3 linked regions of the Notamacropus eugenii genome follow. The protein of the gene in region 2 binds, or shares a complex with, the protein of the main gene of each other region. Links are inferred from orthologs where the notes say so. Each region holds a gene or a part of one and is shown on either strand. Other genes may lie near its edges. The genes, in order: STRIP1, STRN and PDCD10.

The links.
Region 1: STRN (region 2) and STRIP1 share a complex: the UniProt entries of both Homo sapiens proteins name them as parts of the core of STRIPAK complex. The link is inferred for Notamacropus eugenii from reciprocal best matches to the Homo sapiens genes STRN and STRIP1.
Region 3: STRN (region 2) and PDCD10 share a complex: the UniProt entries of both Homo sapiens proteins name them as parts of the core of STRIPAK complex. The link is inferred for Notamacropus eugenii from reciprocal best matches to the Homo sapiens genes STRN and PDCD10.

What each region holds. Positions count from the first base shown.
Region 1 is NC_092873.1:288,384,875-288,388,619, reverse strand, and holds the start of STRIP1 (striatin-interacting protein 1), read right to left. Parts: upstream 2,731-3,745; 5' UTR 2,716-2,730; coding exon 2,518-2,715; intron 1-2,517. UniProt on the Homo sapiens protein: Plays a role in the regulation of cell morphology and cytoskeletal organization. Required in the cortical actin filament dynamics and cell shape. Part of the striatin-interacting phosphatase and kinase (STRIPAK) complexes.
Region 2 is NC_092872.1:541,647,405-541,651,149, forward strand, and holds the start of STRN (striatin), read right to left. Parts: upstream 2,275-3,745; 5' UTR 2,184-2,274; coding exon 1,941-2,183; intron 1-1,940. UniProt on the Homo sapiens protein: Calmodulin-binding scaffolding protein which is the center of the striatin-interacting phosphatase and kinase (STRIPAK) complexes.
Region 3 is NC_092877.1:356,732,034-356,735,778, reverse strand, and holds the start of PDCD10 (programmed cell death protein 10), read right to left. Parts: upstream 2,743-3,745; 5' UTR 2,595-2,742; exon of another isoform or gene 2,542-2,594; intron 1-2,541. UniProt on the Homo sapiens protein: Promotes cell proliferation. Modulates apoptotic pathways. Increases mitogen-activated protein kinase activity and STK26 activity. Important for cell migration, and for normal structure and assembly of the Golgi complex.

The sequences.
Region 1 (3,745 bases), on a different chromosome or scaffold from region 2:
TGTTGACAGCTAACTAGGGAGATGGGCAATTGCTTCTGAATTATGACATATAATTCACTACCATAAAGGTCATTTCTAGAGCTTCTTCTCAGTCTGAACCCTTCTTGAACTTTGTGTAGCATGACACAACTCACTTTTCCCTCCCTGAAATTCTCTTTTTCCTTGGCTTCTGTGATATCACATTCTGTTTCTACACCTACTTCTTAGATTATTCTGTTTCTCCTTACCCAGGTAAATGTGAGGTCACAAGATTTAGAGCTGGAGAGTGTCTTTAAAATAATCTAATTTAAATCCCCCATTTTACAAACTGGGGCCAAGAGAAATGGAAAGACTTGTCTGAGCTCATACTCTGAAAATAACCAGGTTTCTAATCTAGGTCCTATGACTCTAAAATCAGCATTTTTTCCAAATTGCCTCTTGGGGATCTCCCTCAAGGATCTTCCTTTCTACATACACTTATCCACTCCTACTACTTTAGCCATCACCTTTACGGGGATAACTGAAAATCTCTTTTAGTCCTAACCTGTCTGACCTTGGACCAGTTTTCAGCTCTCTTCTGGACATCTCTAAATCAATGTCTTGCTAACACCTCAAACTCAACATACATGAAATCTGACTCATCACTTTTATCTCTCCTCTCAAGGACACAAGCTCCTCTTTTGACTTCTTTATTCTAACGTACCTAATCATTCAAGGTTCAAATAACTCAGGCAATTAGCTGAGTTTCTCCCTCTCCTTCCACAACCAGCCAATCACCATTTTCGTGGATTCTACTTCCATAAGCCTCCTCTGTTGTATCATTACCAACCAGTTCAGGCTTTTCTCGACTCCAACACTTCCCCATCGATCACAGGACCAGAGACTGAAAGCTGGAAGGGTCCCTGGAGATCATCCAATGCAAGTCACTCACTTGACCAAGGCTCGGAACGGTGGGGATTCCCCACACTGGTAATAAGCCGGTCAAAGGCAGTGCTGCTTCCAGGGTCCCCACTCTTTCCTCTTTCTCGTCCATCTAACATACCGCTGCGCCATTAATTATCCTCTCGTACAACCAACGCTGCCCATCTTCAGTGGCTCCTCACTGCCGACGGGTTAAAGCCAAACTCTGATCTTCTGGGACTCCGCGGCCCCGCTTCTTCTCTGCCCCCCTCTGCCGCTACCTGCGGGCCCTCCTCACCACTGCACAGGGCCCCGTGCTAAAGGCCCCCCTCCAAGGTCAGCCTCAGACCCAACGCCAGCTCCGGGCGGCCTTCCCTGGCCCCTCTCTCCTGCATTCTCACGGTGCCTGTCACACAAGGGGCACAGAGCGGGGCCAGAGCTGGGCCCAGGGCCGGGCACAGAGCGGGGCCCAGGGCCGGGCACAGAGCTGGGCCAGAGCCGGGCACAGAGCGGGGCACAGGGCCGGGCACAGAGCGGGGCCCAGGGCCGGGCACAGAGCTGGGCCAGAGCCGGGCACAGAGCGGGGCACAGGGTCGGGCACAGAGCGGGGCCCAGGGCCGGGCACAGAGCGGGGCCCAGGGCCGGGCACAGAGCTGGGCCAGAGCCGGGCACAGAGCGGGGCACAGGGTCGGGCACAGAGCGGGGCCAGAGCTGGGCCAGAGCCGGGCACAGAGCGGGGCCAGAGCTGGGCCAGAGCCGGGCACAGGGCCGGGCACAGAGCGGGGCCAGAGCTGGGCGCCTTCCTCATCCAGACTGGGTAGGCCGCCAATACAGACTGGCTGAATTAATCACCACCGTCTCGCCGACGGTGAGGCTCCTCTGAGATCGGCCAGTTTGGGGCTTTAAAGACCGAACTACTGAAAATGTGACAACATTCCCTAAGAGCCGGCTCCCTGACAGACGCCTGCCTCCCTCGGCCACCGGGTCAGAAAATTCCTGGTGAAGGAGTTCGGTCCCCTCTCCTTCCCAGTGACTATCTCAGGAAGCATGATTCTCCAAGGAACAGCGAAGTGCTGGGGAATATGCTGATTAAGGTGACCTAATTTTTAAAAAAAGGAAACCCCAACGTGTATTTTCATTCATGAGGCCGGTGGGCGGAACTACTCCCGAGCCGGTGAATGACTCGGGCGTAGCCAGGGCGGCGCTCGGGGCCAAGGCGCACTTTCTGGTTTTCACACCCAGGTCGGGAGATTGGAGGTGACCCAGGCGAAGATGGCCCGACGACCGAGGAGGAGGAGCGGGTGGCCGGCCTTCAAGTGGCTTCTCCGAGGGCAGGGGCACCGCGGCCGACGAGGGCGTCGGTCCATTCCGGAGGGCGCCGCCCAGCTCCCTCCTCAGCCCGGGAGGCCGAGGTCGCCCCGGGCCCACCCACGGCCGCCGCGGTTCCGAGCCCCCGGGGCCTCGGGCCTCGCACAGCTTCCGGCTCCGGCCCCCGCCGCACGGACAGCGCACGGACAGCGCACGGACAGCGCACGGACAGCGCCCGGTCAGCGGCCGCTCCTAGGCCCCGCCCCCGCCAGGGCCCCGCCCCTGCCCACCCCGGCCCGGCCTCGCCCTCGCCCTCGCCCCCCCCCTGACCTCCGAGTCCTTGCGCTGGTTGCGGTTGAACTCCCGCCCTTTGCCCCCGGGCAGGACGCCCCCGCCGCCCCCGCCGCCGCCGGCGGTCCGCGGGGCCACGGCCTGGGGCTGCGGGGACGCGGGAGGCGGGGGCGGCGGGGGCTGCGGCTGCTTGTTGTTCACGATCAGAGGGCCTGGCCCACCGCCTCCCGGCTCCATCTTGGCTCCTGCGGCCCCAGCCCAACTCTCGCATGGCCGTGGGGCCGCTTCTCTCGCGAGATTTGACCCCTAACCCTGCCGCGCCCCCTCACTTCCGCCATAATGAGTGTGGCGGTGAATGGGAGACGCCATCTTGAGCGCGGCAACCTTTTAGGGTGTCTTAGCCTGGAATACCTCTCGGGCGCCCCGCAACACGACGCACGGTCGGACTGTGGTAGTTGGTAGGTCGTTTTTCAGTCGTGTGACCCCATTTGAGGTTTTCATGGCAAAAAATGCTGAAGTGATCTTCCATTTCCTTCTCCAGCTCATTTTACAGGTGAGGAAACGGAAGCAAAAAGCGTGAAGTGACTTGCCCAAGGTCACACTGCTAGTACGGGTCTGAGGCTGAATTTGAACTCAGAAGGCGGGGTCTTCGTGGCTCCAGGTCCCGCTCTGGTTACTATGGCGCCCCCTGGCTGCAGAGTCAGGTTACGGGCTCACTATTTTCCAATGCTATTTGTTAGGCAAAGCTCGTTTGGACTGGAAGAAACTGACCTCGCACCCTGCTGACCGCTGCTCTGAGCTCTCCAGCGGAGGGTCAGTGGAAAGGGCGGCCAAGGGGAGTCAGACTGGAGGTCCACTGCCCCCTCTCTGCCTCCCACTTAGGCCTCCTTCTTAGTAAATGAAGTGGGGGGAGGGGATAGGCCAGTGTACTAGCAGCAGGCCAGCAAGTCGTCATCATGTGCCATCTTGGTGCCTCTGTCCCATGGGACAGAAGTAATTTCCCTTTTTTCATCTGTAAAATGGATCCATCAGATGGCATCTTAGGTTCCTTCCAGCTCCATGACTTTTGGAAGACCTAGGGCTAATTCTTGCTTCTAAAACAGTTTCCCCAACCTTTAAGATGCTAAAAAAGTGTCAGCCTGCACTGGAGTCTTTTGTTTGGGGATTTTTCTGGTGGTGGGGGGAGTTCCCTATACCAAGGAAATGACACACTTCTAGGTACTGTTGATCAGTGAGGGGTGTTCTCTTTTCCAATGAAAACAGGGGT
Region 2 (3,745 bases):
TCAAATGGTGAAAGCATCAACATGGTACAATCAAAGTTCCAGCTAAAGTACAGCAGTTCTTCTTCAATTACGTTCAATTAAAATGCAAATACCCAAATAAAAGTTATAGAAACAAGTTATTATCACTTAAGTTGCTTTGTTTAACCGGTTTTTTTTGTGGGTGGGGGAATGAGATTGTTTAGAAGCAGTAATTGGGAGCACTTGAACAAACCACTTATATTGGAGACTAACAAGGAAAAGTTGCCATTTTTAAAAAAAGGTGATATTCAGTTGGTGATATCCTTGTTTCCAGAGTATCCAATCAACAAGTATTTATTCATCATTTACTAAATATCTATACTGGGCTAGGCAATACTGATACAAAATAAAAAAATGAGACGATCTGCATTCAAGGAACTTATATTCTATCAAGGAAACAGGACATACCTGTTGGATCATAGATTTAGAGCTGCAATGAAAACAAGAGATCATTTAATCCTCACACACTCCCTGTTTTCTAGATGAGGAAATGAGGCTCAGAGAAGCTGTGACTTGCCCATGTCAAGACAGGAAGTAAAGGGGGCAGGATTCAAACACACAAGTTTTGTGCCCTCCAAATTTGTCCTCTTTCCACAGTACTATTCAGCTTTTCCCACGTAAGTAGGTAAACTGTATATCAAGGAACCACAGGCTATACTCAAGACATAGCAGGCACATAGAGAACCCAATCCCACCTTCTGCAAGAGGCCTTTCTCATCCCCCCTCTGCTCCGGTCTTCCCTGCTGAGTTACTTTTCATTTAGATGGTACCTTCTATATAATTATCTGCATGGTGTTTCCCCTACTAGAAGATGAGTTCCTTGAGAGCCAGAACCTCCCCCCCTCTTTTCTTCCCCTTTCTCTGTATCCCCAGGACAGTGCCTACCACAGGACTGAACATTTAGTTATTAAAGATCGCTCTATCTCAGGACTTAAGGCACGGTGAAGGGATTAACTGTGCAAAGCCTGTGAACACCCAGTCTGGAGCGGACATATCTTATCTCAAAACAAGGCGTTGTACAGCCTATCACTAATGTGACTCCCTTTAACAGACCTCAACTTCCTTCAAAGAAAAATTCAATCTGGAAAAAAACCTCTTGACAAAAAGTTTTTATATTTGGTCGAGGTTTCTGTTTGTTTCCCCCCAGAGAATCTGTGGTGTGGGGGTTTTTTTTGTTTTTAAATCTTAACAAATCAGTTTCCCTTAAGTAAAGAACTTGACTTCTGACCCTCCATTCATTCAGACATCTCGGATCTAAAATCAGTGGGTGAAACGCACTGCGGCATAAGGCAGAGATTCGAATATATAGGAATTTTCTGTTTCTGAAGATACTATTTTTTCCCTTTTCCGTTTCCCACCTCTGGCCATACAACTTCATCTGTCCTCTCATTTCCTTTCTTTCACCGAGAAGAGAATCTACAGGAAAACACCACGTCTGGCCAAGCGCTGACCCCTCAACCCTGCGGGGAGCTCTCTGGCTCTGGCCCCCCGACGCGGGGCATGACTCTCGGAAGTGGAGCGGTCCGGGACCCTGCTTATCAATCTTCAACTAAGGAGGAAAAGACCCGAGCTCCGAGCAGGACCAGGAGACGACGGGGGAGCAGCTTTGGGGGGGGGGGGGGGGCAGGGCAGGGCAGGGAAGAGGCATTTCCCAAGGGCCTCCTCCGTCCAGGCGCCGCGCCCAGCGCTCCACAAACATCATTTCATTCCATTACACGGGAGGGGCGGCCGGGGACTAGAGCAGGTAGAGGCAGAGTGGGTGGGGCGAGGTGAAGGGGCTCTCGCGGCGGGGTGGGCGGAACCGAGGGAAGGGGGAGGGGACAGGCGGGAGGCTGGGAGGAAGCGGCAGGGGCGGGGCGAGGAGGGAGGAAGGAGGGAGGAAAGAGGCGGGAGGAGGAGGGCCGGGCCGGGAGGGTCTCTACCTGCAGCTCCGCCCGCTCCACCTCCCACTGGGCGCGCTCCACCTCGAAGCGGGCCCACTCGTGCTGCAGGAAGTGCAGGATCCCTGGGAGGCTGTACTGGGCTCGGGCCGCCCCCGTCGCCGCCGCAGCCGCCCCGTCGCCCGCGGCCGCCGCTTCTGCCAAGGGCCCGAGCCCCTTGACGCCCGCGGCTGCCGCCGGGTGGCTGTTGCTGAAGAAGACGCCGGGCCCCGCCTGCTCGTCCATGGCGGCCGTGGCGGCAGCCTGCTGCGGACCGGTGCCGGCTCTCGCAGCCGCCGAGGCAAACGGCAGCAACGGCGCCTCCTCCTCTTCCCTCCGCCCTCCTCTCCCCGCCCACACTCCGAGTCAGCAGGGAGCGGCTGCCCGGGCGCTTGGCCGGCCCCCCGAGCTGCTGACGGGCCGGGAAATGGGTCAATTGCAGAGCGCGCGCGCCCCGAGGGCTTGCTGGGAAATGTAGTCTCGGGGTGGCGGCGTTAATCGGCGGGAGTTGGGAAAGGGGCTAGGGGGCCTGGAAGGATTCTTTAGAAACTAGCGCTGGCAGACTCCAGCTGTCTGAGCCTAGCTGTGGCGGAGACCTCTTAGTCCTCCTTCCCGCCCCTCAGCCTGGCAGAGCCGGGTGCGGGCCGCTTCTCGGGACACACACCGACACGCACGGAAGGAAGTTCTTGGGCCGCGCTCTCTTGCACATACCCACACCCACGGAAGTTCGCGGGCTCTGCGCTCGCTCGGTCTCCGTCTCTAACTAAGTAGCACACGCACCCTCACCCCAAGGAAGTCGTCTGTGACAGCGCTCTCTCTCGCACGGTCGCGCACATGCACCCACGCAGATCCGCGGAGACAAACATATCACATCCCTCTACGCACCAAAGGATCGACGACTCGGCTCTTCCCCCACGAGCTGTCGTTTCCCGGGGTTATACTGGCTGGCTGGTCCTCCTTCTAGGCGAAAGTTCGTCTTGGGAATTGGTCCCAGGACCGGTCCCTCTCTACCCTGCTGCGTCAATTTCAGTTAAAGTCACGAAAATGGTGGTCACGAGTTTTGTTTTGTTTTCCATTCCCGGCCTGATCTTTTTATGTTGTCTCTGAAGCCTCCACTGACCTGAAGGAGTACTTCCCTCCAAACCTTGGCAGGATTTTCCTTAATTCCCGTTCTCTTCCCACACCCCAAGCCCACCCAGGCTTTCTAAGTCCTCTCACCAGTTGGGGTCAGCGAGATCCTTTCAGGGGATAATCGAGATCAAAGCTATTTTCATGATAACATTTTAGTTTCATAATAAGACACAATTTCTATCATGGTTAATATCAGTAGATATAAACCACATGAACCCCAAAGAGGAGGGTGGTCCTCAATCATTTCTAAGAGTGTAAAGTAATACTAATTATAAAAACATTTGAGAACTGCTGGGCTAATTCATAAGATCTTAGATTGGGATGTAGAAGAGAATTTCCAGGTCAGCTCCCGTATTTGATAGTTGAGAAAACTGAAGACCTAAGTGATTGACTTGTCAAAGTCATTCATGTAGGTCCTAAGTCTGAATCTACACATCTAGAACTCGCAACTGAAATTTTTGTAATACTGGAAAGATGGCAGAATAGATGATCTCCTAAGGGCCCCTTTCAGCTGAAAACCTGTATGAACTTAGGAAATCACTTTCTTCCTTTCTGCCAAGATTAGAGGGCTTCACTCCTGCTCCAGTCATCTGGAAAGCTAGCCCAGTATCACTGTTTGTTCCAACTCCTAATTTGGTGATCACCTCTTCTGACAACTCCTTCCAAAGCCCTAGTAA
Region 3 (3,745 bases), on a different chromosome or scaffold from region 2:
CTCTCCCCTCCTCCTTTCAGCTTCTTCAGTGTACTCTTTCTCTAGTAGACAGTAAGCTCCTTGAGGTCAGGGACTGGTCTTCTTTTTCTTATCTGAATCCCTAGTGCTTAGTACAGAACCCAGTACATAGTAGGTGATTAATAAATGTCCATTGGCTATTAATAATTATAGTAATGATTATAATAAACAAATGCTGAGGGAAAGTCAGGGTGATGGTCGTATGAAAAATGGAAACCACATCTAGCTAAGTGATCAAGGAAGACTTCATGGAAAAGGTGCCATCAGATGGATCTTGAAGGATTCCTCCGACATAACAAATGCTGATTGTTCTTAAATAATTTGATGACTTTTCTCCCTTTTACGTGTATTATAACTGATATGTAATTCTCTTTTATATTTCATTCTTTTGATTTTGGATCTCTATTCTATCTTGAAGTTGACTTTTATCATAATATCCTTTTTGGATCTTGGTAAATTCCCTCATTATTCCAAACTTCAAGTCATAAAAGGAACCTAGGGAAACCTATTAGACAGTGACCAGCATGTAAAACAGACAGACAGACAGACACACAGACACACACACACACACACACACAGAGTCTGCCAGGGCTTTCTTTGTTATAAAAAATTGAGTAAATATCTTGAGAACAAATTATGTGGAGATGGCTGACTATAACTAGATATGATTTTTGAGGTCAATTTATCTTAACTTGGAACACTTAACATTTTATGAATTTCTGTTAAAAGTTTCTATCATAATACCTAATACCAGACCTATATTAGTGTAGATAACTACATAGAGTCATAGCATGCAATTATCATGGCAGAGGGTGCTAGGTCCCTTTTCATTATTCTCAGCCTAATAGAAACTACAAATTTTACCCCAATCTCCTTCGTTCCTTACTGTGAAATCTTCTCAGGAATGTAAATCCTTAAAAAAAAAAATAGGGGAGGTAGATCATGTGACTTGCAGGACATATTATATGTTATCTACCAATGTAGTTAAACAGCAATATTTTCTCTGAGAGCTGAATTTTGAAATTATTCTTGAAGGTGGCAAAAAGTCAATGTAAATCACTGAGAGGTAACCCATACATTATCAGTTATGTAACCTCCCTATACTGACATACTAAACTTGTTTTCTAAGTCTCTGAAATATCAGTGTATGAGCAAACTGTTCTAGAAGTACCAACTTCAAAGTACTGTACTTCTGTAAAAAGATTTTTTTTTAAACAAAGGGAGACCTGGTGGAAGGAAAAAGCAGCACGTTAAAGTTCTCCTATGTCCTGAAATGACTTTCCTATATTAGACAAGAATAAGTTGTCACTTCTTATCAGTTACCAAAGCCATTCCCAAGATCGCAGGATTTCTGATTGGGACAGGATCTCAGAGGCAATCTAGCGCAAGTAACTCAATTCCCAAATTAGGAAAGTGAAGCCAAGGACACTTAATGGCCTTGCTGGAGGCCACACAGCTAAGATTCTAAACCAGGTCTTCCTGCTCCAATCCAGTGCTCTTTCCATCACCTGACTCCTCCAATACAAGGATAAAAAACCAGAAGTGAGTCAGATCCTCTTCCCTTTCCATGAATCTTGCACAACTTTTTTTCAGATGACAGGCACTCAGATGCACCTTTAAAGTTAAAATACTTGAGCCGATGGATGCTGGCCACAGACTCATCGGGATGCCTGTAGTTCTACAGCCCTCAGGAGGCCAAAAGAGCAGGTGAGGATGAGACATAGGGGTGGAGAAGCCCAACAGCGACTGCAAGGGAGCCTGGAGCCCGGCTGGGTGGGGCACAAACTTGGTACAGAGAAGTTCTGCACCTGGGCAGCGATCGCCGTCCAAGGGGGGCTTCTCCAACTCAGACACTCCCTATTCAACACAGAGATGGGGCGGGGGCGGGGGCACGGAGTCCAGGGGGGGCCAAGGATCCCCCCAAGCGGCCCAGCAGGGCAAATACGAGTTTAATTTTCAATGAGGGGGGGCACAGATGTTCCAGGTGATAGATCTGCCCCCCCCACTCCAGTCAGGGAAGTCAGACGCTACTCCAACAGACAGGGAGAATAAGGAATGGCTGTGGGAAGGGAACAAGCATTTATGAAGCGCCTACTGTGTGCGATCCGACTGGACGCCTGGGCAGCTGGGGCCCCGAGGCTCCCGCCTTGTCCGGCAGGCCTCCGTCCAGGGAGGACGCCGGTGACCCCCGACCTTGGGCCGCGAGCCCCGGCCCTTCCCTCCTCGCCCTACCCCGCAGGGCCCGCTCCGGGCTCCAGCCTCCCCCACCGCCGTCCCTGGCTCCTCCTCCCACACCTGGAGCGGACCCCACCCGAGGCACATCCGCCCCCTCCCGGCCTCGGCGGCCGAGGCCTGCCCCCAGCCATTGCCGCCACTTCCTGGACGGCGGCCCCGGGGAGGGAGGCCGGAGGCCGGGAGGGAGGCCCGCGCTCGGGCGGCCTCGATGAGCCCGCTGGAGGCCGCTCGCGTCTAGTCACCGCCCGACGCCCGCAGGGCCCCGCGGGCTCCCGGGCCCCGGCGCACCTACCCTCGCCCACCGGGGCGCAGCGAGGTCGAGGCCGGCAGGGCAGCCCTACCCTTGGAGGTGGCGGCGCCAGCAGCTCCGAAGCAGACTCCACTTCCCACCTCCGGAGCCTCTTCAACTCCCGGATCAATTCACTCCGGCAACGCCGGAAGGAGCCGAGAGGAACCAGGCGTTGTCCGGAATCCTGCCCAGCCGGAGCCGCGCACGGGCCGATGGGGGCTCGTAGTCTCAGCCTTCGGCCCTGCCCACAGCCGTGAACCCGGATCGGACTACATCACCCAGCGGTCCCTGCGAGCGGCTCCAGGAGATGGGTGGGGACGTCGCGAACCAATCGTCTAGGCCCTCTCGCTCCCCTGGGCGGGGCTGAGAGGAAGGGAGGGTGGGCTGGGGATCCGAGAGAAGGGGAGGAGTCTTGGCTCACCTGGCCCAATCAGGGAGGGTGGTCGGCTCGGGCTTCGGCTCGGGCGGGGGTGAGGAGGCGGAGGTAGAGGAGGAGGCTGGTGCACGCCTAGGGTAGCCCCTGGGGTGGCTCTGGGCTCTGAGGGAGGCGCGTGCTAGGAGGGACCCCCGGGGTTAGCGTGGGGTGGAGGGCACGGGAGCTCTGAGCGACTCGCTCTAACAGGAGCAGTGGCAGCAGCTTCTCGGGCTCAACCAGACGGGGCCGCGGGCAGTTGTCATCGCCCAACTCCTGTACCCTTCCCGGGAGGGGCAGGGGCGGCTGAGCTGGGGGAGGTGGAGGGTCCAGTGGAGATAGGAGCATCTCCTCCTTCCCTCCCCGATCCAGAGGCACATGCAGGTGCAGCAGGTGTGGGAGCAACCGGCGGGGCGGACGGTGAAACAATAGAAGTCGGAGGTGGGAAGACACAGGGAAAGTTGGGGGTGGGGTGGAGCGGTAAGATAGCGAGGGGGGAGCAGAAGCTAAAGCCTCCAGCCCAGGAAAGGTAAGGGAAGCCGGAGGGTGGAAGAGCATCCGCAGCTGGAGTAACCACGAGAGCAGCAGGAGGAGGAGGAGGAGGAGGAGGAGGGGGAGGGAGGAGCGACGGCGGCAGCTTCGTTTGCCACCCGGAGGGGCGGAGTTTCCGCAGCAGTAAGAGCTGAAGGCAGTGCTGAAACAGTAGCATTGCTGTGAAACAGTAGCAGCGCTGGCCAGAGCCGGAGCACGAGCGGGAGCCCCAGCTGGAGCCGGAGCTGTCCGTCTGGGAC